4 linked regions of the Struthio camelus genome follow. The protein of the gene in region 3 purifies or fractionates together with the protein of the main gene of each other region. This does not show direct contact. Links are inferred from orthologs where the notes say so. Each region holds a gene or a part of one and is shown on either strand. Other genes may lie near its edges.

Region 1 (7,005 bases), on a different chromosome or scaffold from region 3:
AGAATGAAGCATTTTTCTGAGTTTGAGGAATGCTACTTCTCTCACAGTTAGGGTTCTCACAGGAGCCAACACTGCGCAGAAAGAGTATCCTGAAGGTCAGACACGGCAGGTGAATGTACCCATAGACATGAACACATTAATACAGATTACCCTGAGAGACTAAAAAAGGGCTAAACTGGAATTCCAAAGAAAACTGACTCAAAGCGACCTCCTGATACACGTTATTACGTTACATATTAGCCACACACAGCTGAATTACTATGAAAAGTAGACATCGTAACAACACTCACTTAGAAGAAAGATCTCTGGTTAAAAATGATGCTTTCTGAGCCAAATCTTCCATTAATTTCAAGTCATCCTCATCCATCATGTCCAGTGGAAGAGCATCTTCCTCCTCTTCTTTGTCCTGTTTTTCAGCTATTTTAGAAGACAACAAATACAGATTAATATTCTGTACATATATTTAAACTGCCTACTTCTGTCAGGTAATTTTAGACCTCACTTCAACCTTGATCTCATCAATCTTCACAAACATTGGGCCAAAAAATCTTATCCCAGAAAACTGCCCTTTTATTGATCCCAGAAAACTGCCCCTTTATTGAAACACACAATGCTGATTATAGCAAACCTGGTTCTACCATCTCTGTCAGATCTTTTGTTGCCAAAAAGGCTGTTTTGTGTTTTTCATAACTTTCTTTCTTTCTTTTAACAAGAAGAGCAATTATTTATGCACGCGAAATTAAATTTTGATTTTCTGAAACAATTTTACAACATAAAGAGCAGGATACTAGTAAACCTCACACCTTTGCCTTCCTCTACAAAGAAAAAGCCTGAGATGTTAATAAATTCACTGCTCATAACAAAAAAGCACTTACCAACATGTTTTTTCTTGTATTCCTCCAATGGAACAGGTTTTCTACAGACAGCATCTCTGACAGCCTGCCTTAGCTTCTTTTGTTCTTTTCGATACTTCTTAGCAGCACTCTGCTGCTTATATTGCTTGTTCTTTAGTTTGTTGTCGAGTTTTATTTTACTAGTTCTCAATAACTTGCGAAAGCTTGGAACTCGTTTTGTGTTTTTTCTCTATGAAACAAACAGAAAACTACAAGTAACTGACTTGTTTGTAGCCCTTGTAAAATTTAATTTCACTATTTCATGTCTCACTAAGCACATATTTCCATCAGTGCTGAACAACTTGTTCCTTCCAAATGGTATCATCAGCTCAGCAAGTTTACCCAACTATGTTAAATGAATGAGAAGACAGACATTTCTCTTTTTTACAGAAACATTCTTTAACAATTCTTTTATTAAGCATAATACTCATCCACTTTCAGACACAGAAAAAATATGGATATTCAAAGTGTGGCATACAAATAGCCAAGATTCAGTTCTTTGGCTTGCGCACTCCCAAGCACTCCATCTCCTTTCTTCATGACGCTGTTCTTCCCTAGCCCACAGTAAGTAAGGTTAGGGACTCTGGTACAAGGCTACAGCCTCAGGCAAATGTCCTGATGCAGCACCCTCCTGTCCCAAGCTCTCCACGACAGCTATGACATGTGGAAGAGCCCAGGCTGCCCTCAGCAAGGCTCAGAACTGTGTGATGGAGAAGCTGTGAATGGGCTGCGGGTGCCAAGGATCATGGAGCCACAGCGGTCAGGAGGAGGAGAGGAAGGAGAAAGCCTGGATGCACAGATCAGTATGGGCACAATGGGCCAAAAAATGCAAAACACTCCAAGAAGCATTCAGGATCCTGAAAACGGACACGGTTTACATAATGAGCAGCGTGGGAAGGTAGGAACTGGAGTTAAAAAAAAAAAGAGTGATTTTAGAGTTTTGGTGAGGAAAGATGTGTCTCCTTGGTAAAGAGATAGGTGACCGAACCAGTGTGGAGCTCTTAGGTCTGGAATTTCTGTCGGTTCACCTTCAGTTTCCCCTTTTAGGTTTGGCTGTTGGGAAAGAGTTGAAGAAATAAAAGCAATCCATATCCATACCCTAGATATCAACAGGCTACTCTAAGCCTGAATGGACCCATAAGCCATTATTTTTATTGTGATCTCCTTCTCGTGAAGGACTTACCGTGTTCATCTTAAGACCCAGCAATCCCACACATCAGTGACAACAGCACTGACTTGCTTTTAAGGTTTTGTGAAGGCTGATGATACGAAAATGCCAAAAGGGTCAGCTCTTGATTCTAAAAGACCTCTGAAAATACTGCTAGTCAAATCCTCATCCTCTTCACAAGGGCTTTCTAAAGCTGACCCTTGTCTCTACACTAACCACATAAAACTAAGTGAGAATAGTTACAATTACCATCTACCTAAAAGTCCCTTTCGAGTTTGCTTTTCCTCTCCAGATACCACCTCACAACTCAAGTGCGTTTGAGCAAGAAACGCTGCAGGTTATCCTACTCTGCTAAAACTCTTATGCTATACCCCTCGTCTTAATGAACGACTCGACCGACATTTGCCACGCACGATCCGTTTCTCTCATATTGTAGTTCTGACAAAACCACCTCTCACAAGCGAAAGACAAGCCTTTGCTAAAAAAAGGAAATCTGCAGCAGAATGAGCACAGCTGCTGCCTACCCTCCGTACTCGCACGGTATTTTATCACCTGCCCTGCAACACCAAGAACTTTCCCACGCCTCACAGCCTCACGCCACACCTGCTCCGCCGCAGGGATGCGGAGCCAGCGCAGGAGGGCAGCCCCTCCACCGAGCAGCCCGCAGCCCGGCCGCGGCCACGTCCGCCCGGGCCGGGCCCGCCCCGCAGCCTCACACGGAGCCGCGGGGGGGGGTCCGGGAAACCGCCGCGCCGCGCCGCCCAGCCCCGGCGCGGGGCGGGTGGCCCCGCAGCGCCCCCGATCCCGGCAGCCACCCCCAACCCCCGCCTCCTACCGGCTTCATGGCGGCCGCCGCCCCGAGCGCGTGCTACGCCGGGCCCGGGCAACGGAAGCGGCGCGCGCGGCGGGACCCGCCCCTTGACGGCGGCGGCCGCGCCCACAGCGGCCCCTGGCGGCGGAGGCCGGGCGCGGCGCGAGGCCGTTGGGGGGTGCGCGGCCGTTGGGGGGGCCTCAGCGCTACAGCTTTAACGTCTGTCTCACCGTAGCCCGAGGCGGGGGGGGGGGGGGGGGGGAAGAAGGGCGTTAGTACCTACTACCACCGCGTTCGCAGTTAAGGCAATCTCCTCATCCCAAGCATTCCCCCTCTTCCCCCCCGCAACAAAATAACACGTTCAGCCATCAAGTTGGTTAGGGCAGCAGTGCTGAATGCAACGCTGCTACGTCCTTAACCGTTCTTTTTTTTTTTTTTAAAAAAAAGAGAAAAAAAACCACACACCAACCTTCTCCTACTGTATATTCATATATTACTTGGCAAGTGTTGTTATTTTTTTCTTTTGGGCAAACAACAGCCTTGAAAAGAACAACACAATATTTCTGCTATAAGTTTTATTTACACAGGAATTGTTACTAGTGGTCTTAAAGGAAGGCTTGATCCTTCTATTTACAGTTATATACAGAGATTTATACTTGAAAAGTAAGAAAACTGTACAAGTTAACACAAAAATATAAGACAAATTGAATCCAATTAAAGTAGTGAATACATAAGTTAAGAAAAATTTGACATTTAAGTTTCAAATTGTAATGTTATGAGTAATATATATGTAGTTTTGAACCAGATAGCAACGTAAGTTACACCACACTAATTAAATCTTTACCCCAAGTTACATAGACTCTGCTTTTAAACACCAGACAGCTGAAAACCTCCTGCACTTAAAAATATGCAATGATAATTCTGACTTGATTTCCACAGAGGGTCCAGTTACAAAAACCCACATGTAAGGAACCTATTTACATTAAATATTAGCAAAAATGGACCAAGAGAGTGCAAGTGTTCCTCACCTGCAGTGCTATCCATTTTAAATTCCCAACCTCCACAATCGAGAGTTGTACGGTGGATCTTTGAGAACAGGAAATGTTGAAAACATCTGCTGTGACATGTACTGTATGACATTATTTTCTCACCGTTAAAAGTTGCTAAAAGAATTAAGTATCATTAAACCATATGCTTTTTGCATTTCAGTATTGCACACTAATAAAATATAGTTTAAAAAAACTGCACTATTCTGAAGTGTTAAAGGTGGATGCTCCCTTGACAATACAAAGTCTGTAGATAGCTTTATCAATTTCTAGTGTTTACCATTACATACAAGCGTATCTTAGTTGGGAATGGCTTAATGAAATAAAACTTCTGGTGGCAAAACCCATTCACAGAATACCCACACCATTTTTAATAAGCTGCACAACTAATACACCAAAACAAAGGCTCAGCGCCATTCATTTTGAAAGCTGTACACACTGAGAACAGTCCTGATCTTATCGCTTTTTAAATTTCAAAAAAAATTTTTCTGTTGTAACAGGTTTGGACACAATACTTCCACACTTCGAGTTAATTATATTTGCCCAGACTGAAGCTGTAACTGAAAAGCAAGTAAATAACAATACCCCTTCCCAAATCTTACCCACCTGGCATACGCATACCAAACAACCTTATTTGGTCCTCAATACTTTTAAATAGTTAATTTTGGAGGTAATATTTGTACCCAAAGCATTTGGTCTGGATAGCAGTTTTGGGGCCTTAAGATTTAGCATTTTCCTCACCCCTCTCAAAAAGTGCCTTTGTGGTATTTGTAAAAAGTTATGCCTCAAAAAATTTTTAAAGTACCAACAGAAGTTATTACAAATGTTTATTGCATTGAGCTGACTCTTTTAAAATATTAAATATGAACTCCTCGTTTCTCAGTTTCATAGGTTTTAGTATGCTGTGTGAAAACAAATCTTTCCACAAAGAGCTAATACTGGCAAAAGGCTGAAGATTTCATCAGTTCATTACTTCAATGAGAGCTAAACTGTCTCTCTCATTTCTTGCACCATTTTCTACAGTGGCTTCCCACACAGATTTGATGCAAAAACTCCTTTTTCAAGTGGTTTCCCACATTTTCAATTGACCTCTACATTATGACGACTGGCTTTTCAGTGCTGGGCTATGGTTCTTGTCCCCTTCTTTGTTGTCCTTCATTAGTGAGGCAAACACCTGAAAATGTAAATTATTTAATGAATATAAACAGATTAGTCTTATAAAAACAGATCGAGATTAACAGTCACAGTACCAGCACAGAGACTACATTCAGAAATAGGACACTAGAGAGGAAGAGTCAATTAACACCCTTATCAGTCCCAGTCACAGAAGTTTTCCTCCATCTTAGGAAACATTCCAATGCAGAACTGATCTCAGGCTATTTTGCCCTTTTAACTTGATGAGGGTTTCATCTGCAACAATTCTGGTCCTTTGTTATACAGGTATTTTCCCATCAGCATTAGATTAATTCCAATACGGGGGACAGAGGTGGGAAAATTATGTCGACAGCCACAACATAAGATTGTATGAACAGAAGTTTTGTTCAAATGGGTCTACGCAACCTTAGGCTCTGCATTTTGGTCAGTCTCAGGTAGACTTCTGTTTAAAGTGTTCATCTTTCTCTTCCTCTTGCCTGGCATGTAAGTCTGCACTAGAAACTAGGGATTCTTCAGTAACTGTTTTATCGCTTCCCACATAAGCAAGTTTCAGTGCTGAATTTGTCTTCCAAAAGAAGGAGGGGAAGGAGTAATCACCAACAAAATCTGAGCTTCTCTTCAAATTCAAGATGCATCTCATGTCAGAGGTGAGGCCTCAACTACAGTATTAACCCTCACTCTGAAGTCAGACGCGCAGCATAAAGTAGTCATTAAGGGAAGTGCCCCCCGTAGTGTTCTGAGATTTATAACCGAAAACTCACCTGTGCCCATTTCTTGTTACTATTCTGCATCTGAATAGCTGCAATACAGCTAAAAAGCTTTTCTGATGTAATGTCTTCTGGAAGTTTTGTTAGAAACTGGGCTATATGAATGAAGTCCATCTGTAGGAGAATATCTTCATATAATCGAAGGATTCCTAATCCCGTCCTGAACAAAAATTCTTCCCCATCTCTGCAGAAGACATCCCAGACACGACAGGCCAGATCAAGTGGTAGTGACTTGCTGTAGAGTGTAAAAATCCTACATTAAGGGGGAAAAAAAAAAAGAACAGGTATAATTTTAATGTATTTCAGAAACATGAAAATACCACCTCCTTTAAATCTAAATTGGATTAGCTGAGAGCAAGCAGATGACAAGTTCTCTCTCAAGTGTTTGTATTTTTTTTTTATTTCGAAGATATACAAGTCCCCAGCTCTTCACATCAGAGTTCTGCTGAAACTTTTCACGCTACAGGAAATTCTCCATTTGAAATCAACCTCCTCTAGGAAGCTCTAGCTAGAAAAGTTACAAGGATCTTTGTGCTCAAATAGGGCACAATATACATAGGGCACAATATACAAGGGCTTATACAATAAAGATCAAAAATGTGATACTTAAACCCCCTTTTTTTTTTTTAAGCCATGTAGTTTATGAACAGCTCTATTCATCATTTGGTTTTTAAACTAAGCCTGAAGTTTCAAATCTTCCCTGTAGAAGGCTGGAGTGGTAGGCTACAGCCCACAAACATAGTAATGAGAATCTGGCAACTACATTTCCATAATACATTTCAAGTTTACATCCAAGTTAAAAATCACCAAAATCTAAAGACAGGCACTCTTTCTACTCTCTGTTCTATATAGGACTTGTTTTTTAAATTATGAAGCTTATTTTTAAAAGCATTCATTAGATGTGCTGTATGCACCATACCGCATAAACCCTTCCATAAATTTGTAGCAGTTCCACTGATGCAAGGCATAGCATTCCATTTCCCCCATTATTCACACTAGAAAGCAGTTCTAGAACCTCAGAAGACTCCTAACCACTGAGACTACTACAATCCTCCTGCATTCTCTTCATAAAGAGAGCTCTTTATCTCAACACCATTATTGGAACAGGTGCAGGAATGTCATAATCTTAATTTACTGCTGATAATCAGAACATTCTATTGCTTTA
Region 2 (7,365 bases), on a different chromosome or scaffold from region 3:
TTGTGGCAGAGAAGAGCATTGTCTGACGGTGTTTGGAGCACAACCTGATTATTTCCTTCATCTGCTCCTCAAAGTACTCATCCAGCATCCTACACAAGAGAAATATAGCAAAGCAGCTTGAATGGTTCTAGCCAAGGCCCATTACTTAGGGCAATAACCACTGCCCTATACCCTGGGGAAAGGAAAACGGGAAGCCACCATTTCCTTTTTCATTACTGTTCTGCCCAGCTTACCTATCTGCTTCATCCAAAATCAGCACTTCAATACTGCTCAGGTGGAAAGAGGGGCAGTTGTGCAAATGATCAATCAGCCGCCCAGGAGTGGCGATAAGAATGTCTGGCCCAGAGCGTAGAGCTGCTTCCTGAGTCTTCACATCTAGGCCACCTGAAAGAGAGTGAACATGGACCACTGACTCCCTGAGCAGGATTTAAGAGTACACAAACCCAAATACTCTGAAGACTGGGAAACAATTATGATTAATACCATGTTCACAATTAGAAATGACCACCTTTCTTTTATCAGAAAAAAAAAAAACAGAATTGCACGCTATTGGAAAGTGAGAACTTAAACTATAGCACACCTACTCAAAGCATGCCTGCAATAACCATACAGCCTCCAGTTTTAAAGCACAGGATTCCAAGTGCTGTACAGAAGCTTGCAGTGAGATGTATGGTTTACTTAAGCAACTTAATGCTCACCTACAGCAAGGCAAGTTGTGATGTTGCTAAACTGTGCCAACTGCTTTGTAACAGAGTGCACCTGAATACCCAGTTCTCGAGTTGGCACCAGAACCAATACCCGCGTTATTGGAGCCTGACGAGGTTTATAAATCAGGCGCTCAAGTACAGGCAGGACGAAGGCAGCTGTTTTACCTACAGAAGAAAATGAAGAAGAATTACTAAGCTATTGTGGATAGTTAATTCTCCATATTTCCTACCGCCTGCTCAATTCCTACCTGTCCCAGTGGCAGCACAGGCACAAATATCCTTCCCCAAAAGGCCCACTGGGATACAAGCCTTCTGAATCGGGGTTGGTTGCTTGAAGCCAAGAGCTGTGATTGCCTACACAGGAGATAGAGCAGTTAAACACTTTACATAAAAAAGATAAGCGTCACTCAAGATAGCACTGACATATATTGCAAATCAAAGAATGGTTTCTATGACTCTGAAATAACTCTTTAGCTCTTAAAAGGCTAACTGTCATACCATCCTCTACCTCACATTTCCTGTTCAGAGAGGCTGCAAAGAGAGGAAGAATTTGACAGTTTTGATTGGTGGAGGGGAAGCTGTACATTTTCTACAATAGAAAGCTACATAGTAAGCAAAACAGCTAAATACCTTTAGTAAAGGCCGTGAAAGATTCATGTCCTGGAATGACAAGTTATCGTCATATTGAGAGGCATCTTCAAAAAAGCTCTCTGCTTCCTAGAAACAGGAACAACAACAAAACTGGAACAACGTAGGCAACAACAAAACACATCACCAAAAGCTTCTGGGGCGTTCTGTGACCTACGGTTTGCTAACCAAAGCGAAATTACTTAAGATAAATCACTAGAGAACAAACAATCTTGTGTCATTCTGTCCAACACTTACTGCTTCTCCCTTTTTCCATCTCTTCCGTTCCTTCACTTTGAGAGTATCTGCAGAGAAAGAGAAAAGTGATGGAAATTAATCAGCACAGCTAAACACTTAACAAGATGCGGTGCCTGTTCTCTTCTTGTACTTTTTGTTCTTAATGTGTCATTGATGGAAAAGCCTCAGAAACTAACATCAGACATGCAACAGGGTAAAACGCCAAGCACACATCTTCCCTTAGGGCCAACTCCACATAAAAGTACTATGGCTACAATTCAGAATAAGCTTGATCAAGACCAGAAGTAGCATCACATAGGTCTGTGGATAAGACAACACAAATTAATAGATTCTTGCTTGCTCCCTCCCAAAGTCTCACTAGAGACTTCTCTCCACTGAGCCAACAGTCTGTCAGATCCTTGCTCCTGACCACCTCTCTGTGTACTGCTAATACCTGCTTTAGTGAAGATACTTTCATCATCTAACGAGTTCTGGGACTCCACATCCTCTTCTTTCTCTCTATTGAAATCCCCGCTCTCTCCTTCTTTGATTTGATTATCCTCAGTCTTTGTATCTTCCTCTTTCACTTTTGTTTGTTTAGCTTCTTTTTCCTAGGAAAAGATATGAAACGAATGGTTTAAGAAGAATAACAAAGAAACTTCAACCCTTTATGAGTTTTTTTTTTTAATTAAGAGCCCATTCAGAAATGCATGAGTTTGTAAAACCTCAAGCATAAAAAATTCTGCATTTTCAGCAGGAACCCATCAGGTATGCCTGCAAAAACAGCCAAGGTGCCGAGCTGTGGCTTGGGCACCGAGACTCAGGATGTTTTCAGAGCCTGTGCCTCTGACGGGGGAAGCTATGGAAAGCCAAACCTGTACCGCTCTAGGCACTAGGAGAACATCCCTGACCTGGATCCTCCTTTTCTGTCTCACTTTCTCAATCTTCTCGTCCAGTGTTGTGGCTGCTCTCTAAGCAGGAAATCAGGAGAGAGGCGCCGTAAGAGAAGCCCGGCAGAGCGCGGGGCACAGCGGCCCCGCTCCCGGCCCCCGCTCCCGGCCCCCACACCTCACCTTGCCGCGGAGCTGGCGCAGCGCCGCCGCCCAGGCGCCCTCTCCGCCCGCCTCCGCCTCCCCGAAGACGAACGCGGCGCTGAAGTCCCCGCGCGGGGGGGCCCGCAGCCCGACCCGGCCCGGCTCCTGCAGCGACACCCCGTGAGCAGCCACCGCCGGCCGGGCCGGCCGCACGGAAACGAACAGGCCGGCCCGGCCCCACGCAACCCAGCCCGCCCGGCCCCGCTCCCGGCCCGGCCGCACCTGCTCATCCTCAGAGTCCCCGGACTCGGGGTCCTCGGGCGCGGCGTCCCCCTCCGCGATGGTCCCCACCAGGCCCAGGCGCTGCAGCATGGCCGCCGCCCCCCGGAAGTCGCGTCCCGGAAGTCGCGCGCCAGCACATGGGCGCAGGGGCATCGGCGCGTGCGCAGAGCCGCCCGGGCCGGAGGATGGTGGGCGGGGCGATGGGGGCCACGCCCCTCCCCGCCCCCGGGCGGAAAGGAAACCGAAAGTGGCGGGGGCGCTCGGGCCGCCGGCAGCGGCGCTGGAGGGAACCGACCGACCGGAAGGAAGAGAGGCCGGTACCGGGGATGTAGCCTGCGGGGTCTGGGGGCGCGGGAAGGGGACGGTGCTGGGGAGGGTCCGCTGCCGGCGGGGCCCGGGGTCCGGAGTGGGGACGGTGCCGGGGGATCGCGGGGAGGGGACGGTGTGGGGGGGGGTCCTGGAGTGGGGACGGGGCCGGGGGGTCCGGGGAGGGGCTGGGGCCGGGGCCGGGGCCGGGGAGACCGTGGGGAAGGGGCGGTGCTGGGGGGGGCCGGGGAGAGGACTGTGCTGGGGAGGAGGCGCTGCCGGCGGGGCCCGGGGTCCCGAGTGGGGACGGTGCTGGTGGACCGCGGGGAGGGGACGGTGCGGGGGGGGGGGGTCCTGGGCTGGGGCCGGGGGAGGTCCCGGGGAGGGGATGGGGCTGGGGCTGGGGCCGGGGGGACCGCGGGGAGGGGACGGTGCCGGGGGGGGGTCCTGGGGGGGGAGGAGCCGGGGGGGGCCAGGGGCCGGGGGGACCGCGGGGAGGGGGCGGTGCCGGGGGGGCCGGGGAGGGGGCGGTGCCGGCCGGGGGCGGCGCGGCTGGGCGCGGCCGCGCCGGGAACTGGAAAGCGAAACTTAGGGCCGGGGCGGCGCGGAGTGGTGCTGGCCTGGGGCTCATCCAGCGGCCCCGGCAGCCGCGCAGGGCAGAGGGCTGAGCTCCGAGCACGACGGCGCCGGTTTTCTGCTCGCGGCGCAGGTGCGGTTCAGGCCCGGAGCACGGAGCAGAGCCCTCGCCCTGGACGGCCGCGGGAGCCCGGCGGAGGCAGCACCGGGGCCTCGAGCGATGGACGGCGCCGGGCAGGAGCCTCGCTCCTGGCAGCTCCGAACTGGCGGAAGAGGTGAGAGCTGCGTGGTTAACGCAGGGCAGCAGGTCACAGAACAGCTGGGGGATGATGTGCTACAGTGTGACCCATTCCTTCCTTGCCTGTGCGTGTGCAGTATGATTTCCTCTGAAGTGTAAATTCTTGCATTTCCTTATTTGCCTCCTAGATTCTGATCGGGGCCCTTAAAGTGATGATGCATTGCAACAATCTCTTTGCTAATTTATTCTGCTAATGTTCAGTACGTCTCTGAGTATTCAGTTGAGGGCTTGATAAAGACTGTACAGCATATGCTTTCTGATACTGTGATGGGTCAGGCTTTGTCCAGAAGATCTGTATTTTATCTGTGCTACATAAAGAAAGCCAGAGCCAGCTGCTGCTGTTTTTTTCATTATTTAAATGACAGCTAATTCCAGAGGAAATCCTGTCCTGCATAGGAAAATTCACCTCTGCTCTTTCTTAATTCTGCTTTCTGGCCTGTGGAAAAGGTGTTCTTTTCTTAGTATCTTCATGAATTAACAGTGTACGTGAACTCTAGGCATGGTGCTTTTTTTTTTTTTTTTTTTTAAATGGTCAGAAAAAAGGGTACCAGGGAAACACCAACATAAAGGCCTAGGTGTAAAATATATATATTTTGTTTTTAATATGATGCAAGATGTCCAAAATATGCTGACTGCCAGGCCAAAACACTCAGCTCTTGTATTGGGAGACAAGTTAATATGGTTGATTTGTAATTAAGGAGTACCTCTATCTTTTCTTTGTAGGGCATGCTGATCATCGCTTTACACAAACAGGCAGGAACAGAATAAACAATGGCTCAGGCCAGGCTCACAAGAGAGTAGCTCAGGCTGGGGAAAACCCCCAGGCTGGTAATTACCCTCTTCTACCTGGGCAAAGAGAGGAGAGCTTTGGTGGCACTGGCTGGTTCTTTAATCAGGGACGAAGAAACCAAGGTGGACAGGCCAACAGTGAGTCCACAGGGCACTGGAATGGACAGGAGAATGAGGGAAGGGGAAGGAAGTATCAAGGTGTACAAGTACATGAGCGGGCTGGAGGACCCTGGAATGAGCAAGACGGTGAAGGCAGGGGGAGGAGGTATCAAGGTGGACAAGCACATGAGAGGGCCAGAAGACCCAGGAATGAGCAAGAAAATGAAGGTAGAGGAAGGAGGTATCAGGGTGGGCAAGCACATGAGAGAGCCAGAGGACCCTGGAACGAGCCAAAAAATGAGGACAGGAGAAGGAAGCATCAGAGCGGACAAGCCCACGATGGAGCTAGAGGGCTGAGGAATGGGCAGGAAAATGAAAGTAGAGGAAGGAGGATGCAGCCTGGGGAGAATCCTCGTTTCTACCAGAACCCTACCCCAGGTGGTGCCCAGCTTAGTGAGCAGCCTCAGCAAGCCAAAAGGATTGGCTACAAATTCCTAGAAAGTCTCCTCCAGAAAGACCCTTCTGAAGTTGTCATCACGCTTGCTTCCAGTTTGGGTCTGAAGGAACTTCTTTCACAAACATCTATGAAACCTACTTTCCTTCAGCTCATCTGTCAGGTGCTTCGAAAAGCATGCAGTTCCCGAATGGATCGACAGAGTGTCCAGCAGCTTCTTGGAGTGGTGAAGGAGTCCAACTTTCTCAAGATTTGTCTGCCGCAGTATGTGTCTGACATTATAACTGAGGCAGTCCCTGCTGTACGACATCAGTACCCTGAGCACATTGGCAACATCATCTCACTTCTTCAGGACCTGATCAGTATTTTTCCAGCCAGCTCTGTACAGAAAATCTCCATTCTCTTGACAGTCTTGCCAGCATCCATAAATGTTCTGCGAGCTTCTGGTGTGGATATCACAGAAGAAACGGAGAAGAATCTAAATAAGGTCCAGATGCTTGTGCAGCACCTGCAGGAGAAAAGACGTGAAGGCACACTGAGGGCTGACAACTATACGCTTATGCAGCCTCAGGCTGATGGTCAGGAAGAAACGTACCGTACAATGACCATTTATCCAACATATAATGAGGTGCATCATGATGAGAAACCCTTTTTGCGCCCCAATATTGTTTCTGGAAGATATCAGAGCACTAGCATTTATCTTGATACTCACTTCCGTCTTCTGAGAGAAGACTTTGTAAGGCCTTTAAGGGAAGGTATCCTGGAGCTTTTGCAGAACTTTGAGGACAAAGGTTTGAGAAAGAAAAAATTTGATGACATCAGGATCTACTTTGACACACGTATTATTACCCCCCTCTGCTCCTCGTCTGGTATTGTTTACAAGGTCCAGTTTGACACAAAGCCATTGAAGTTTGTACGATGGCAGAATTCCAAACGGTTGCTGTATGGATCCCTGGTCTGCATGTCTAAAGATCACTTTGAAACATGCCTTTTTGCTACTGTCTCTAATCGCGATAGTGCAGATCTGGCCCAGGGAGTTGTGCAGCTATGTTTTAATGCACAGAGCCAGGCACTGCTGGCAGAGGTTCAGCCCTCAGACTCCTTCCTTATGGTAGAAACAACTGCCTACTTTGAGGCCTATCGGCATGTGTTAGAAGGGTTACAGGAAATCCGGGAAGAAGATATTCCATTCCAGAAGTACATTGTGGAATGTGATGCACGTGTGAAGGAGCCAGCATACCTAACAGTGGGCACTACCTACAACTTTGCACCCTTGATGGAAGACCCTCCAAGAGATGAAGAGATGTACCCTGATGGTTTGAGAAGGCAGAGTGTCAATGTTCTAGATCCCAACCAGTGGCCTTCAATGGAAAGTTTGAGATTAGATGAGTCTCAGATGCAGGCACTGAATCTTGCACTCACCAAGGAGCTGGCTATTATCCAAGGACCTCCTGGGACTGGTGAGAAACATTTGCTTTAGATGTCTATCACTTAGGAAATTCTACCTGACTCCCCCAGTTAGGAAGACTAACTGAGAAAGTCAGCTGCAGTGTCTCCAAAGCTTTATGCCCAATTGATGCCTCAGTAGCCCAGTTAGTGAGAGCTGTGGGGAAAAAGGTTAAAATATCCTCAAATACCCATATGTACCTCTAAGTCAGATATGATCTTACATGTCACTGACCTAGCTGCCAGTAGACCCCGGGCCGGGTTTTGGGGTGGAAAAGTTTTCAACTGTTTTGATTCCATGCTGTCTTTAGCTGAGCAACTGCTCTATTAGTCTTCATAGCATGTTAGAAAATCGGGAGTGTTCAGCTCTGGTGCTCTAGGTGTACAAAGCATTGCAATGGTGACTGCAAGCATGTGTAAACCCTCTCACAATTGTTGTGGGGAAGGTAGATGAATTTTAACTATTCTAAATGGGACCTGAACTCAGCAAGCAACCACTGCTTTTATTTT
Region 3 (7,031 bases):
AGAGCACAACTATTTTCAGGGCAGTGTCCGTCTCTCAGTGCTGTTTATCTCCTCCTTCTCCACCCCAACACAACCAGGCCCTAGGCACCACTGAGACAACTAACAGGCCTGCCAGAGCAGGTTCCCTCTTCTGTGGGCCCTCTCTTCTCTCATTGCCACAATGCACTTTCCGCCAGCCCTTACTCCAAGGGTGACCTGAGAAAACAGGAGGAGAGCTCTCAGCGCCTTCTTAGAGATCGTGGAGCCTTTTACAACGGCCAGGAACTCTCTGCTCACTAATGCTTTGTTACAGCCAGCATATAGCTCACTGTATCCCTCTCCACTAACTCAGAAACACCAGTTTACCAGTCAAACAATTCCCAGAGCTGCCATGGGAGCTGGAGTCTTAAAGGGGGACGGACAGAGCAAGGGCTCCACAGGCTCCAGTTCAGTTTACTGTTGATAACAGATTCTCACGAAAGAGGATTTTCTCCTGCATCTCCTCCACACTGACGTCCAGGCAGCAGTGCGACCAGCGGGTGGTGGCTCACCTCTCTTTCACAATGTGGTCAAGTTTGTAACTGGGCTTGTTATCCTTCAGCCGCTCCACAGTGCTCCACTCACTTTTGCCATATGCTTTCCGGAGTTTCCGGACAAACACCTGCAGGGCAGAGAGGGGGAAACTCAGGGCTCCCTTCCAGGGAGAGGATGGAGGGAAGCGAAGCCCACCTCACGTGGTACAGAAACGTAGCCCTTGGACATAAGGGCCTCTCTGATGGCTTGCATGGGCTGTTGATGGGTGCAAGGGCAGCTTTCAGATGTAAGGTGCTGCCATGCAGCTTCTTTGGGAAGAGCTGGAAGCAAATTAACTAGCTACCTATCACAGCTAAGCCCCCAAACTTCCCCACTCCACTGCTGCACATGGTTAGTCAGCTCAGCTCCACTGTACCTTGCAGAAATAAGCCAAGCCAGGGCCACAAACACTCATCAGAGCTGGAAACAAGAGACAACAGCCTCGAAGTGAGACGATCTCATCACCCTATCCCAGACTCAGCCACGAGAGGGCCCCATGAACTCAACCCCCAAAGCTCTTGAGCACTGTAAATACCTTATACTCCCGGAACTTGTTGACGATGGGCTCATGAAGGAGGAATTTGATATCTTTGAGGAGATAGAAGGTCCTGGCTGCAGTGGAGCCTTTGTTCACCTTCTTCTTGTGCTTGGGCTCATGGGGGTAAATCCCCTTCAGGATACAGAGGCGCCTGTTAATAGAGATGGAGATGAGACACGCTGTATTTCAACATCCACTCAAAGTGAGAAATGAGAGGCAGAAGAACTTTAAATTTCTCTTATTCCATGTCACCTGCTAGAAGAGTTTAAAGTGATGCGGATGCAAAGTTGGGCTGTCCAAGAAATAAAATGCTCCAGACCCTTTTTATAGCACTAAGGTGACCTGCACTGACACTTTTCCCACCTCATGGGAAAAGAAACAAGTTGAACTCTGCAGTCTGAAACATCAGGACATACAGGACAAATAACTATGCTCCATTTCCTCCCTGCATCCCCACGGTCTCAGTATGACACCACTGCCTTAGTTTTGGTCACATCACCCTGTGAATCCTGAGCACATGCTGCATGGCTCCCCTACTGGCACCTTGCAACAGAGTGTGTGCGTGCGTGTGGATGGTGGTATCCCAAGAAATCTCTGCTGCTGCTTCTGGAAGCAGCCAAGATCCTTCCATATTGCTGAGCACAGCCACCGACCGACACTCAGCCGGGGCACGATTTGTCACCCCACCAAGGCAATCACGTGCCTTAGTCTCTTGGGTAAAGCAATGGTTTCCTCTAATCTTGCTGTGCTCCTCAAAGCATGTTCCCAGGGAGACAAACATCTCTGTCTGTCTGTTCTAGGCAGCTACTGAAGAACACAGCCGAGGTACACAAGCTGCAGCCTGTCTCCACAGACAGTAGCAACGCACCTGAAGAATTCAGTCTGTTTCCTTATCCAGTTCCCAACACCCATGAACGTGTGGGACTGTCAACTCCTTGGTGCCCCACTGCGCTTTGCGACAGCCTAAATATAAACATTACCTTCCTGAACCCTTTCTATGGTGTGTCCTGAGAAGGACTAACGGGACATCTCCAAATTACTTCTGAGTGATAAATATGCTTTTATTAAAGTTTCCAAATCACACCTGGGATCCCGGGTGTGCACAAGTTAAAAGCATGGATTCATCCAGTTCTTTTGAACCACCATTCTCAAGAAGAACTTCAGAAAGGGCTCTCAAGGGTGACCCCAGGTTTAGATTACAAACTTTTATCTTTTCTGAAACACAGCAGGGCTCAAGGCTGCCTAAGGAAACACCTGAGTCCAGAGAACCCGTGAGGCAGCTCCAGCGGAGAACGTGACGCTCAGCTTTACGCACAGAGCCTCAAGGGCCTCATTCGAGCTGACTCCGCTTTCACGGACCGCTGGCCGGCGTCCTAGTCCCGGGGCAGCTCTGAGGCGACGGGCGGGTTGAGCGGCAGGAAGCTCCCTCGCTCGGGCAGAGCAGCGGGTGGGAGAGGAAGCCGCGGGCCGGCCGCAGCTGCCAGGAAGGGGCCGCGGGGGCAGGGGCGAGGCAGCCCCGGAGCTGGCCCGCTGAGCCCCCCGCGTACCTGAAGTCCGGCAGGCTCAGCTGCAGCTTCTTCCGCGCCTTGTTGCGGGTGATGTAGTTGGTGGCAGAGCCGCGCTGGTACTGGGGGGAGAGAAAGGGCGAAGGTCAGCAGCGGCCCGGGCACGGCCCGGCCCCACCGCGGCCGGGGAGCGGCCGCCGACGGACCGCGGGGCCCCGCAGCCCCCGGGGCCGGCGACCGCCCGGCGGCCCGGCCGAGGGGCGGGGGGAGGAGGGGAGCGGGGCCGGCGGGCAGCGGCGCGGCGAAGGGCCCCCGCGGCCGGTACCTTCTTCTTCTCCAGCCCCCCCATGGCGCCGCCGGCGGCTCCGCGGCCGCTGCCCCGCGTGGCTCGGCGCCCCGCCCCGCCCCGCGCCACGCCGTGCCGAGGACCCGCGCCTGCCCCGCCGTGCCTGCTCGGAGCCGCCCCTGCGCCTGCGCCTGCGTCCGCTCCCGCTCCTGCTGGGGCCGGGCAAAGCCGCGTAGAGCCGCGGCGAGCGGCGCGGGAGGCGGCGGCGGGGGCGGCGGCGGGGGGGGCGGCGGCGGGGGGCGCGAGCAGGCGCGCGGCGGGCAGCCCGGATGGACGCAGGCCGGGCGGGAGGGGGCCTGCGGCGCTGGGCCCGCTGGGATATATCGGGGCAGCGCGGCAGGGCACGCTGGGACGTAGGGGGGCACGAGCGGCGCAGGGTGTTGTGGGGGCTCGGCCCGGGACAGGGAGCGGGGCGGTGGCGGGTCCCCGGTTACCCCGCCTGACAGGGGCCGCGGCAGCCGGGTTGTCCTGCGGGCTGGCAGGGCGCCGCGGCGCCCCTCCGGTGCCGGCTCGGGGCTGGGGCCCAGGGGCCTCGCCCGCTCCGGACCGGGCTGTGGGGGGCTTGGCGGTGCTGCGAGCCGTCAGCTCCCTTAGGGGGACTGGAAGAACTGCGGCAGCCGGCGCTTAGGGCCTCGAGCGAGCGTAGGGCCTCGTCCGCCTTCGTGTGCTAACGCTGAAACACGCCGTTTGGCATTAGGTGTGCCTTGTTGGGCTGGTTGTTGTTCTCCTTGTGCTTGCCTTGCAGAAAAGCTGCACCTCCCCAGGCTCTATCAGCGTAGTGAGCTCCTGCTTGAGTTCATCTTAGGGGTAAAGTTTGCCAGAGTTCAGCTATTTAAAGCTCATCCCAGAGCGTGCTTTAGAGACTGGTCTCTCTGTGTAATTTGAAATCTGTTTCTTTCTCCTTGGTGTTTTCCACATTTTAATCTCCCTGTTCTTCATGGAAGCAGCCAACTGCTGTCCCCAGCAGCGATGAGGTGGCTTTGCAGGTACCTGGGCTCATTTCTGGCCTGTTGTGTGAGTATTTCCCACAGGGTGATGGATGCATCTGGAGGAGTTTGGCTGTCCCAACCTGCTGGGACAGTGTCCCGACACATAGTCGGTGCCCTGACTATGTGTGCTCAAGCCCCCAGGCCCAGAGCTGCTGTGCTGTGGCCTCGCTGAGGAGGATTGGGAGAGCTCTGCCAGCTGCTGGGACTTGGCTCCTGGTTGCCCCTTTTGTTCTAAGGGAGGTCCCAGACCCGTTCCTGACCCTAGTGCTGCTTTTACCCCGCTCCCTGTGCTTCTTCCCTCAGCCTCGCAACCTCACTTCCCAGCTTTCCTCCTTATTGCTGAGGAAACAGAGTGGGGTCTGTAACTGTCCAGACCTACTGGAGATTTTTACTAGGTTTTCCATCCTGTGCTGCTCTGATTTAGGTTTTTCTCTCTGTCCACACACGCAGCTATGCCAACACCACAAACAAGTCTGTTCTCACTTCAGCCGGTGTGTTCAGTCCCTGTAGGGTGGACTGTTAAATAAGCAGCTGAAGATGAAAATTAGCCCTTCCCCAGGAAACCAGTCAGAAATAGGCAGCAGAGGAAAAACATCTGTGCCCTGCCTGTGCTACCTCTTCTCCATGATTAATCCTGCGGTGTTTTGTTTTAAACTCCCATCTCCTGGAAACGAGATCCCAGTATAACCTTGGCTCCGCCTCCTTCCCCCTGCCTTTTTGGTTTTAGATGAGTACATAGTCCTCCAGACTAAGAGATGAGGAAGAGGCGGGGGAAAAGACAGAGGGCCTGAGAGGTGAAATGCCACAGGGCAGGCTCTCAGGTGGAATTTGGGGTTCCCTGCTCATATTGCTGCCCCTTTCCTATCATGAAAGTTTGGAAATGCTTCGTCATCTCCCAGATCTCTAGCAGCATGGCTGTAGTCACCCTCCCCACCATTGCTCAGTGCAACGCAGACCTTGCCAGCTCTTCTCTCATCCCAGAGAGACGCTGAGTGCCACGCCACTCCTGCTGCAGTCGGGGATGCTCAGGGTCAGCCCGGGGCTGTGGTGCTGACTGCGGGCAGAGGCTGGCCCTGCTGGCTTCCTGGGCACAGGGAGCAGACCTGAATGTACACTCAGCCTCCAAGCTGAGACACGTCCTGGCTCCCCAGTGCTCAGCTGTGCAGTGTCAATGAGCCCTTATAGGCGTTTCAGGGTTGCAGTCCCCAAGCTGGAGGCAGGTGAGGCACATCTAAGAGGTTTTGAGGCCCTTAGTATCTCATTTGATTCCACAGGTGAGATGTGAGTTCATTGAACGCAATGTGGGGCAACAAATAACGTGAGCTCAGAGCTGATTCGTGGTAGGGTGAATGCCGAGCTCTCTGGAGCTCCTTGTTTTCCCCTGGGTAGTAATTGCACCCTACTGGCACTGTGGCATGCAGTGTCCCCCCTACATGCTTCAGCCAGGCTAAGCTGCCCTTCCTACTTGCTCCACCTGTCCCAAAACACCCTCCCTGCATGCTTCATCTTTCCTGAATTGCCCTTGAATCCATCTGAAATGCCCCTGAAGAAAGCAGCTGACTTTAGCATCTGGAGGAGACGGATATCTGACTGTCAAGAAACACAAGGTCAGAAGCCCTATGACCGATTGGGAGAGTCCCACAAGCTGTTTCTCTCTGCACCCCAAGACCCTTTCTGGGTCCTTCCTCTGGTCCCTGCTGTCTGCAGTGCTCAGGGAAGTGTCCCAGGACCCACATCCATGGGACAACTATCTCTCTCCAGCTGTAGCCATGGGGATTTACCGTTTGCGGTTCAGGCACAATGGCATCTCTGTATTTCTCTGTGACACATCCTCCATCAGGGCAGACAACAGCATGCCCTGCAGACAGGCTGTTTCAGGGCACCAGCTGGCACGTCCTTCGTCTCCATGTCTTGAGCATCTAGAAGGAGTTGCTGGGCTTGGTGCCATGGTGGCTCCACCGCAGCTGGGGACAAAGCCATCCATGTCAGTATGAATTTTTGGCCTGCTGCTTTCTCCCACAGTGGTTGGGACAAACACCCTGAGCCGCCTGGCTGAGGCTCCCTGGAGCTCCCAGTGCCTAGCCAGGGCTGGGGCAGGTTGGCCCGGAGGACGTGGCTCCCTGGCACGACATGGTTGGATGTGGCTGCTGAGCGACAGGGGTTTAAAGTGCCCTGACTATGTGTGCTCAGGCACTGAGGTTGGTGTGGTTCAGCACCCGTTACACCCATTGCTATGCCCGTTACCAGGCTGCTGAGGCAAATGGGCTCCCCTGAGGAGCAGAGAACTACTGCTTTCAAGACAGGAGTGCCTGGGCAATGGTCAGGCAGTACAGGGTGCTCATGCAGGGTGTCCTGGGTTGCCAGGATTTCCCGTGGGTCACAATGAAGTGGGACAGCAGGGCCTCCAGCAGGACAGACCATCACCCTGGCACTTTGCGTAGTGCTCCCCTGTCTGAGTTGTGCAGTTTAACTCTTGTTTTCTTCAATAAAAATCCAATTCCAGACGAGAAGCTGAGTTATTTCCTTTAGAGGCTGCAGGGATGGAGGGCTCAGTATTTTTTTTTTCCCTTTGCTAAAACTGGTGGTGAATTTAACCCTGACGCATGGCAGTTTTGGTCCCCTGGTACCTGTGCCCTGGCCGGGGTGCAGACAGCAGGCGGGCCGTGGACGTGAGCAGGCGCTGGGGCTGTTTGCCCCAGGTCAGTAAGTGCACTGAGAAGTGGCCTGGAAAGGACAGGGCTTATCTGGCAGCGGGAGGAAGCAGGAAGGGAAAGCAGCTGTGACCGCTTTATCTCTGCCCCGGCGCTCTGCAGCTCTGCTCCCGCGTTTCCCTGTTTCGCATCCAGCCAAAGTCCTTTCCCGTTTCTGCTGACTCGGCCCCAGCCTGCGGAAAGCGCCTCTTACGACACCTTCCTGTCCCAGGCGGTGCCTCGGCTCGGCTCGGCACAGCTCGGCCGGGCTCCGCGCGGCACTGCCGGGTCTGCGAGCCGAGCCGCGGCGCCCACCGCCCTGCCCGTCCCCCGCGTCGCCGCTGCTGACCCCGCGCCGGCATGTGGCACCTCCTCGTCCTCCTGCAGGCTGCGGTCCTGCCCGCCCGGCCG
Region 4 (7,377 bases), on a different chromosome or scaffold from region 3:
TGCTTGTTGCCAAAGTTAGGGGCAGGAGGTGGCGGATACAAAACTGTAGTAAAGCATCTAAAAAATGTGTTTTGTTGACACACAGAAATGGGCTTGCTCCAGAAAGTTCAAGTCACCTCTTTGTTGCACCAAATGCACCTTTTCTTCTTCCTCAACATAGGCCACCATAACACACTTTAGTAAAAAGCCAGCAACAGTCAGGAGAGGGTTGTAATATTTCATAGCACAGAGCCAGATGTCCATGAAAACTACATTTGACAAGGAACAGCTCATAAATCCTAAAGTTTTCACAAAGACCCTGCAGAACACGAGACCAAAAAAAAAAAGTTTAACAGTCAATTTAAAACAGCCTCCCTTAAGTCAGGCCTTTAAGAAGTCCAGTAGTATTTGCCAACGCCTGACAGGCCCCACAATCTTCACATTGACAGCCATTCTCATTTCCCTACAAGTACTTAAGTTTCCTCTGCCTTGGACAGTCACTTTTGTACAAGGAAGAATCAAAAACAAAGGAGTCCTTCTCATCTCCGATGGCAGTAGAGCTACTCTTAGGAAACCAGATAAAGGGTAAGATTTAGAAGTTACCCTACAGGTGTTCCTCACCTCATCAGTTCAGCTGACGTATAAGCTGGTTGATTCCTTCACCTCTGCAGCCAGGTTTGCCCATTTCCTTGAGGAAACCCACTTTATTATGTGCAGCATGGCGAGCCACTGACAGATGGAACGGCCACAGAAAGTCTGTGACTTTTTGAAAATATTTCCCAGCTGAGTAGATTTCATGAATAAGATCTTCCAGGCAAATAATACCACAGTCTCCTGCAGGTAAAAAACAATTGTAAAAAAGCCACACACACAAAAGGGATGCTTAATTGTGGTATCTTTCAGCACACCACCCCAGAATCCTCAGTCCTCCACATACATGCCTATCCTGTAACATTTTTCTTCCTCCTCCCTTCCCTCTCGCATCAGATTGCAAACCCTCAATATTCCCCTCTTTCCTTGATTCACTTTATTTTTCTCATCTTCCTCCTCACCTAAATGTTCCTCTATCAACATATTGTCTGTCAGAGGAACCCTCTTCTTGTTAATCTTGGCTTGACCCCGTTTCAGAATGAGCTCTCGTACAGACTTCAGGTTAGGGTACCTGTAAAAAAAAATGAGATTTTGATAATGACAGAGATGAGGCAGCAGGAAGTCCCTCATCTTTTTATCAGAGTGGGAAAGTAACCATTGTATGTTTCGAATGATGACAAGGAACAAGTACAAGTTTTAGATCTTAAGTTGCCAAGGCTAGGACCTTCCCTGGAAAGCCAGGTATGGATTTGATGACATTGTGATACCATAAGGAAAAGTCAAAAAGCTGTATTTACACACTATTTACTATTAAAGCATCAGAACAGCACTCACCCCCATGCCACATAAGGTTCCACAATCCGCAGCATCTTTAGAGATAACGGAGTCAGTTTAACAAACGTTCCACTGAAAATCTTTCTCAACCGAAGCAACTCAATCACTCTTCGTACCTTCAGACTCACTCCCTTAATCCTGAAACAGAAAAAATGTTATCAGTAACTCTCTTTCTCTAGTATAGCAAGAAAACAGCCTCAAATTACCTATAAGAAGACATGTCCACACTGATCACACTTTCTTTACTTAGAAATAGCATGACAGTTACAAATCGCAGTAACAATAAAAGATAACAAAAAAAGATAACAAAAGTTTCTTACTCTACAATTCGTACGACAAAGGCTAGTTTGTGCTCCTGAGGTACAGCCACCTGCCCAGGTCTCTGTTTCATGCGCCTCAGCCGGACTTCGTCTCGGTGTTTGCGCCATGAATCTCGAACAAAAGTCTCAAGACGTTTAAACTGGATTTGTTTCCCTTTCTGGTGCTAAAGATAGAACGGTAAGAAATGAACACCTTTCCCAACATTACCACCTCTGCATCTTATAAGTTTACATCTCAAAGGTCAAATTAAATTCAGAACCTGAACTATGCTCTTCCAGTTTGGAGGCAATAATAAGAAAATAATTTTGAAAATATAAGGCCAAGAGGGACAGAACCGATGGACTATAATCGGATCAAATTCCAAACTTTAAGCAGTTAGCTCTAATGCATAAACCGTGAACCAATAGAAGTTTTCCCCAGAACCCAAGAAATAAGTTAGGATAAAACATAGAGCAAGACCTAGAACATTTGTAGGCACAGGAGAAACAGCCACAGGATTCATTGCACTTTGAATGCTTACGCTCAGCTCAGAAACAAGTATTTGCCATCTTCCTAAATCATACCGCTTTCTGCATGAGGAAAAATTCAATGTGCACAGCAGTTATCCATTAACACTTTAGATACAGAAGCAACTAAATTATCAGGGCATTTTACAACTAAGCTACCTAACGTTATGCATCCTTGATTCAGTTTCACCTCACAAGCCACCCACGCAGAGAGCTTAAGCTTTCAAACCAGGCAGACGCGATCGCGCTGTCAGCATTAGGGTCATTTTTCCCCTCAAAAGCTGGCTACTTCACGTTACCCCTTGTGCTTCCGCTCCCCCCATGGAAATACAGCCCGCAAGCCGCGCTACTCAAGGACACGCACACAAGCCCGCGACAAACAAAAGCAGCAGGTTTTGGCACGCGATGCCCTCGCAGGCCGCTGCCGGCCCCCGCCGCCGTACCTTGCGCTTGCTGAGGAGCGCCTGCTTGGCCTGCGTGGCCTTCAGCGCCTGGTAGGCCTTCCGCTTCTTCAGCAGGTTCTCCGGCACCAGCGGGATCCTCCGCCTCGGCCTGGCCGCACGAGAAGCCCGTTAGACCCCCCGCCACCGCCACCGCCACCGCCGCCACCGCCTCCCCGCACCCCCGGCCGCGGATGGCGCCGGATGCCCCGCGCCGCCCCGCGCCACTCACTCGGCCTCCGCCATCTTGCCGCCGCCAGCTGCTCGCGCCGCGCCGCGCCGCCACTCCCCGGCCCCGCCCCCGGCAACGGCCAAGGCAACGGCCGTCGCCGCCGCGCGGCCGCCGCGGGCAGCGCGTCACGGCCCCGGCCCCGGCCCCGGCGCCGTGCGGCCGGGCAGGAGGCTCGGCGGGGCTGCGGGGCTCCTCCTCAGGCCGAGAATTACCGGGCAGGGTCTCCCTGGGCGTGAGGCGCAGCGTCCTCAGCCCGCAGGTGCCCTCAAAGGGGGATCATCTAGAGACCTTGGGTTCAGAAGTAACTTCTCGGGCAAACCAAACTGACGCTAATCAAACAAGGGTTACAGCCCCACGGGGGGAAATCCCTACCCGGGAGCCAAAAGTTTCTCCAGGGGAAAGCAGAAGTCAAAAGCAACCCGAACAACCTGTTTTCCCCACCTGGGAGGCAGGGCAGGCCGAAGCGCTGCCTCCACGTCCCGAGCGAGCGTGCCAGGGTCTCTGCCCCGTCCGCTCCTGCCCGCGAGCAGCGCCCCGGCTCGCGCGCCCCTCCGCGTGGCAGGAGGCGTCTCCTCTCCCAGCGCGGCGCTCATCCACCTCAGGAGGCCTGGGAGCAGCTCTCACGGAGAGAGCCCTCCTGCCCCAGGAACAGGCTCTTCTGCTCACCCTGACACAGTAACAGGCCCCGGTCACCTGCACGGCTCCCACAGCAGCACCGGGGCCAGGCAGCAGTCCCACAGGGGTCACACCGGCTGTTCTCTCCAGTGACAACCACCGAGCACCAGCGGCCAAGGGCTCTGCCGGCTGGGGACCAGCTCAGGGTGCTCGCGAGGTTGCAAAGAGCCAAGAGAGAACATCACACCTTGGAGGAAACCAGCCTCGTTGGCCAGCCACAGGCTGTCTGTCAGGACAGTCCTGGCTCCAGGGCACTCAGCAGCAGGGTGCCCAGCAGCTCCCGCTTGTAGGAGAGCTCCATGATCTGGGAGCCCCCCTGGATGGCACAGATGACCTTGGTGACACTCTGGGTCAGGGTCAGCATTAGCTGCAAGTCTTGCATCCGGGGAGAGAAAAACACAGTGACACCAATGAGTCACTTTCCGCCTTGGAAGGAAGCAGCTTTCCCAGCTGACTTCCAGAAAGAGATCCCACAGACTCTGGCCTGGAGAGAGCAAGTCTGGCAGGCCTGTAATGGGAAACGTGCGCAGGAAGGACAAGCAGCAAGGCTCACTTGTGTAGGACTGGCTTGGGGAGAGATAGCGAAGCGCAGCACCTTGAAAGCGAAAAGGGAAACAGTGGATGGCAATAAACTGCAGACCACTGACATACAGCAATGGCCCCAAATCACCCAGATACTGCAAGACAGAGATGAACCAGAACTGCTGCGTCCTCCTCATCCTCCATACAGGCAGTGTGCAGTTGCCCTGGAGTACAGTTGGGGGTCAAAGGAATCTCAGAAAAACCCCAGCATGAGCAACCAGTGGGATCTGGAGGGGGCCGCAGCACAAGGAGGTCTCTCCAGGTTTCATCTGGGTACCAGTGTGCTGGTGCCTTCCTTAAAGCAGGGAATGGGGCAGCCCTTTGGGAGGACTGGGAGGACGGTGTGGGGCAGAGCTCCGTCCGGTTTGCTCCCCTGCTGTCCTTATCCATAGAGCACTGAGATCGGGGGGGTAAGGACAGGCCCCCGACCAGCCTGGCAGAGAGCAAGGGGACAGTGTAACCTTACAGCCTCCAATTCAGGATGGACCATTTTGGAGAGACGGGCGAATCCCTTCTCCCAGTTAGCATAGATCAAAACCTCAGAGCAGGAGACTGAAGGTGCCGTATTATAGTTGGCCGGCAAATTTGCGCAGGTTGATGAAAATGAACTCCGAGATCTCCCCCAGGACCTTCAGGCGGCACTGGAGCTCACACAGGACGTCACTGAAGTGAGATTGGGCCAGAGCTACCAGGACATCACTATCAGCCGACCTTACATCATCTGTCACACCGTAAAAACATGAGCAATTAATTCAGCGCTCAGCAGGAGAAAGGCTGAGGCAGTTGGACAGGCTGAACTGGCCAGCAACAACCACCTGACTCCAGCTCTTGCTTTCTACGTTGGTGCTAATAGTGAGATAATACCTATTCTCTTCTGCGAGAGCCCATGCCCTGGGCCGTGAGACTGGCCTTTGGGCCCCGGGCAGACGAGAGCAGCTGGTGGATCGCTTGCTCTTTGTGAGTTGTGGGAGGCTTTTCCCTGCCACAGCCACAGCGTTGGCTCTGCTCCCTCCCTGTGGAGAGAGCAGTGAGTGGGAGCAGAGCAGCTCCCAGGAGGTACCAGGAACAAACTGTCTCAGACTCAGGATCCAACAGGACACTTCTGTGTGACAGGAGCCAGCCTGGCAGTTTCCCATGGCTCTTCCTCAAGGCAGGGAAATAAAAGATAACTTTAACCCAACTGTCCGTCATTTATAACACCTGTCAGTCCACCTCTCTGCACAGCTCCTGGTATCACCACACCAAATCCATGAAAAGGATGAGTCCACAAAGTATTTCTCTTCACTTTCTGCACTGCTGAGTGCAGAAAACATGGCCTTGCGTTGTCCCAGCCCAGTCACAAGATGTGGGCACACACATTGCTTGGCATATGGGAGCTGTTCCCGCTCTGTGCATGGTCTGAAGCAGAGCTACCTACAGTCTTTTCTCTACAGGGAGGTGCTCCACCGGGGGAAGGATCTGCCATGGGGCATCTGCAAACCTCTACCAGGTCATAATGCTAGAGACATCTTTAGAGCCATTCTACATTTTACAAAATCAGGGCTCTGGTCAGGTGTCTCCGGTTACCTTCAAAGAGAAGCAGCTCAGCTGAGCTGCTCTCACAGAATCACAGAATGGTTTAGGTTGGAAGGGACCTCTGGAGATCATCTAGTCCAACCTCCCTACTCATGGAGGGTCCTCTAGAGCGTATTTCCCAGGATCGCGTCCACATAGCTTCTGAATATCTCCAGCGAAGGAGACTCCACCACCTCTCTGGGCAACCTGCGCCAGTGCTCTGTCACCCTCACAGTCAGTAAGTTTTTCCTCATGTTCAGATGGAACTTCCTGTGTTAGCTGTTTGTGCCTGATGCCTCTTGTCCTGTTGCTGGGCACCACGGAGAAGAGACTGGCCTCATCCTCTCGACACCTTCCCTTCAGATACTTGTACACACTGATCAGATCACCTCTCAGTCTTCTCTTCTCCAGGCTAAACAGGCCCAGCTCTCGCAGACTTTTCTCACAGGAGAGATGCTCCAGTCCCCTCATCAACTTGGTAGCCCTCCGCTGGACTCTCTCCAGTAGCTCCATGTCTCTCTTGGACTGGGGAGCCCAGCACTGGACACAGGACTCCAGGTGAGGCCTCCCCAGGGCTGAGGAGAGGGGCAGGATCACCTCCCTCGACCTGCTGGCAACACTCTGCCTCATGCACCCCAGGATCCCATTGGCCTGCTTGGCCACAAGGGCACACTGCTGGCTCATGTTTACCTTGTTCTCCACCAGGACTCCCAGGTCCTTCTCTGCAGAACTGCTTTCCAGCAGGTCAGTCCCCAGCCTGTACTGGTGCCTGGGGTTATTCCTCCCCAGGTACAGGACCCTGTGCTTGCCTATGTTGAACTTCAGGAGGTTCCTCTCCGCCCAGCTCTCCAGCCTGACCAAGGTCCCTCTGAATGGCAGCACAGTCTTCTGGTGTGTCAGCCACTCCCCCCAGTTCAGTATCATCAGCAAACTTGCTGAGGGTGCACTCTGTCCCTTCCTCCAGGTCATTGATGAATGCATTGAACAAGACTGGGCCCAGGACTGACCCCTGGGGGACACCGCTAGCTACAGGCCTCCAACTAGACTCTGCGCCACTGACCACAACCCTCTGAGCTCTGCCATCTAGCCACCTCACCATCCATTCATCCAACCCACACTTCCTGAGCTTACCTACGAGGATGTGATGGGAGACAGTGTCAGAAGCCTTGCTGAAGTCAAGGGAGACAACATCCACTGCTCTCCCCTCCTCTACCCAGCCAGTCATTCCGTCATAGAAGGCTATCAGATTGGTCAAGCATGATTTCCTCCCTTTGGTGAATCCATGCTGACTACTCCTGATCACCTTCTTGTCCTCCAGATGCTTAGCGAGGACCTCCAGGAGGAGCTGTTCCACCACCTTTGCAGGGATGGAGGGGAGGCTGACAGGCCTGTAGTTTCCTGGCTCCTGCTTCTTGCCCTTTCTGAAGGCTGGAGTGACACTGGCTTTCTTCCAGTCCTCAGGCACCTCTCCTGTTCTCCAGGACCTTTCCAAGATGATGGAGAGTGGCCTAGCGATAACATCCGCCAGCTCCCTCAGCACTCGCGGGTGCATCCCATCGGGGCCCATGGATTTGTGGATGTCAGGTTTGCACAAATGATCTCTAACCTGATCCTCCTCCACCAAGGCAGGGTCTTCCTTTCTCCAGACTTCCTCTCTTGTCCC

What was found.
Region 1: the proteins of PES1 (region 3) and NOC3L purify together in Homo sapiens (affinity purification with mass spectrometry; 3 studies listed by BioGRID and IntAct, counting the BioPlex papers as one, with this or other methods). This does not show direct contact. The link is inferred for Struthio camelus from reciprocal best matches to the Homo sapiens genes PES1 and NOC3L.
Region 2: the proteins of PES1 (region 3) and DDX27 purify together in Homo sapiens (affinity purification with mass spectrometry; 4 studies listed by BioGRID and IntAct, counting the BioPlex papers as one, with this or other methods). This does not show direct contact. The link is inferred for Struthio camelus from reciprocal best matches to the Homo sapiens genes PES1 and DDX27.
Region 4: the proteins of PES1 (region 3) and RPL7L1 purify together in Homo sapiens (affinity purification with mass spectrometry; 4 studies listed by BioGRID and IntAct, counting the BioPlex papers as one, with this or other methods). This does not show direct contact. The link is inferred for Struthio camelus from reciprocal best matches to the Homo sapiens genes PES1 and RPL7L1.

What each region holds. Positions count from the first base shown.
Region 1 is NC_090948.1:19,753,178-19,760,182, forward strand, and holds the start of NOC3L (nucleolar complex protein 3 homolog), read right to left. Parts: upstream 3,013-7,005; 5' UTR 2,906-3,012; coding exon 2,897-2,905; intron 2,675-2,896; exon of another isoform or gene 2,086-2,674; coding exon of another isoform or gene 2,077-2,085; intron 1,084-2,076; coding exon 876-1,083; intron 418-875; coding exon 291-417; intron 1-290. UniProt on the Homo sapiens protein: May be required for adipogenesis.
Region 2 is NC_090959.1:19,662,439-19,669,803, forward strand, and holds the start of DDX27 (probable ATP-dependent RNA helicase DDX27), read right to left. Parts: upstream 3,001-7,365; 5' UTR 2,978-3,000; coding exon 2,645-2,977; intron 2,543-2,644; coding exon 2,483-2,542; intron 2,183-2,482; coding exon 2,026-2,182; intron 1,640-2,025; coding exon 1,593-1,639; intron 1,425-1,592; coding exon 1,338-1,424; intron 1,062-1,337; coding exon 956-1,061; intron 873-955; coding exon 699-872; intron 385-698; coding exon 234-384; intron 90-233; coding exon 1-89. Other genes in the region: ZNFX1 (NFX1-type zinc finger-containing protein 1), read left to right, coding at 3,990-4,044, 4,791-6,869. UniProt on the Homo sapiens protein: Probable ATP-dependent RNA helicase. Component of the nucleolar ribosomal RNA (rRNA) processing machinery that regulates 3' end formation of ribosomal 47S rRNA.
Region 3 is NC_090958.1:4,713,700-4,720,730, reverse strand, and holds the start of PES1 (pescadillo homolog), read right to left. Parts: upstream 3,009-7,031; 5' UTR 2,945-3,008; coding exon 2,921-2,944; intron 2,718-2,920; coding exon 2,638-2,717; intron 1,242-2,637; coding exon 1,088-1,241; intron 641-1,087; coding exon 531-640; intron 1-530. Other genes in the region: TCN2 (transcobalamin-2), read left to right, coding at 6,981-7,031. UniProt on the Homo sapiens protein: Component of the PeBoW complex, which is required for maturation of 28S and 5.8S ribosomal RNAs and formation of the 60S ribosome.
Region 4 is NC_090945.1:20,334,534-20,341,910, forward strand, and holds the start of RPL7L1 (ribosomal protein uL30-like), read right to left. Parts: upstream 3,017-7,377; 5' UTR 2,918-3,016; coding exon 2,904-2,917; intron 2,784-2,903; coding exon 2,675-2,783; intron 1,889-2,674; coding exon 1,725-1,888; intron 1,543-1,724; coding exon 1,405-1,542; intron 1,142-1,404; coding exon 1,032-1,141; intron 814-1,031; coding exon 605-813; 3' UTR 601-604; intron 299-600; 3' UTR 1-298.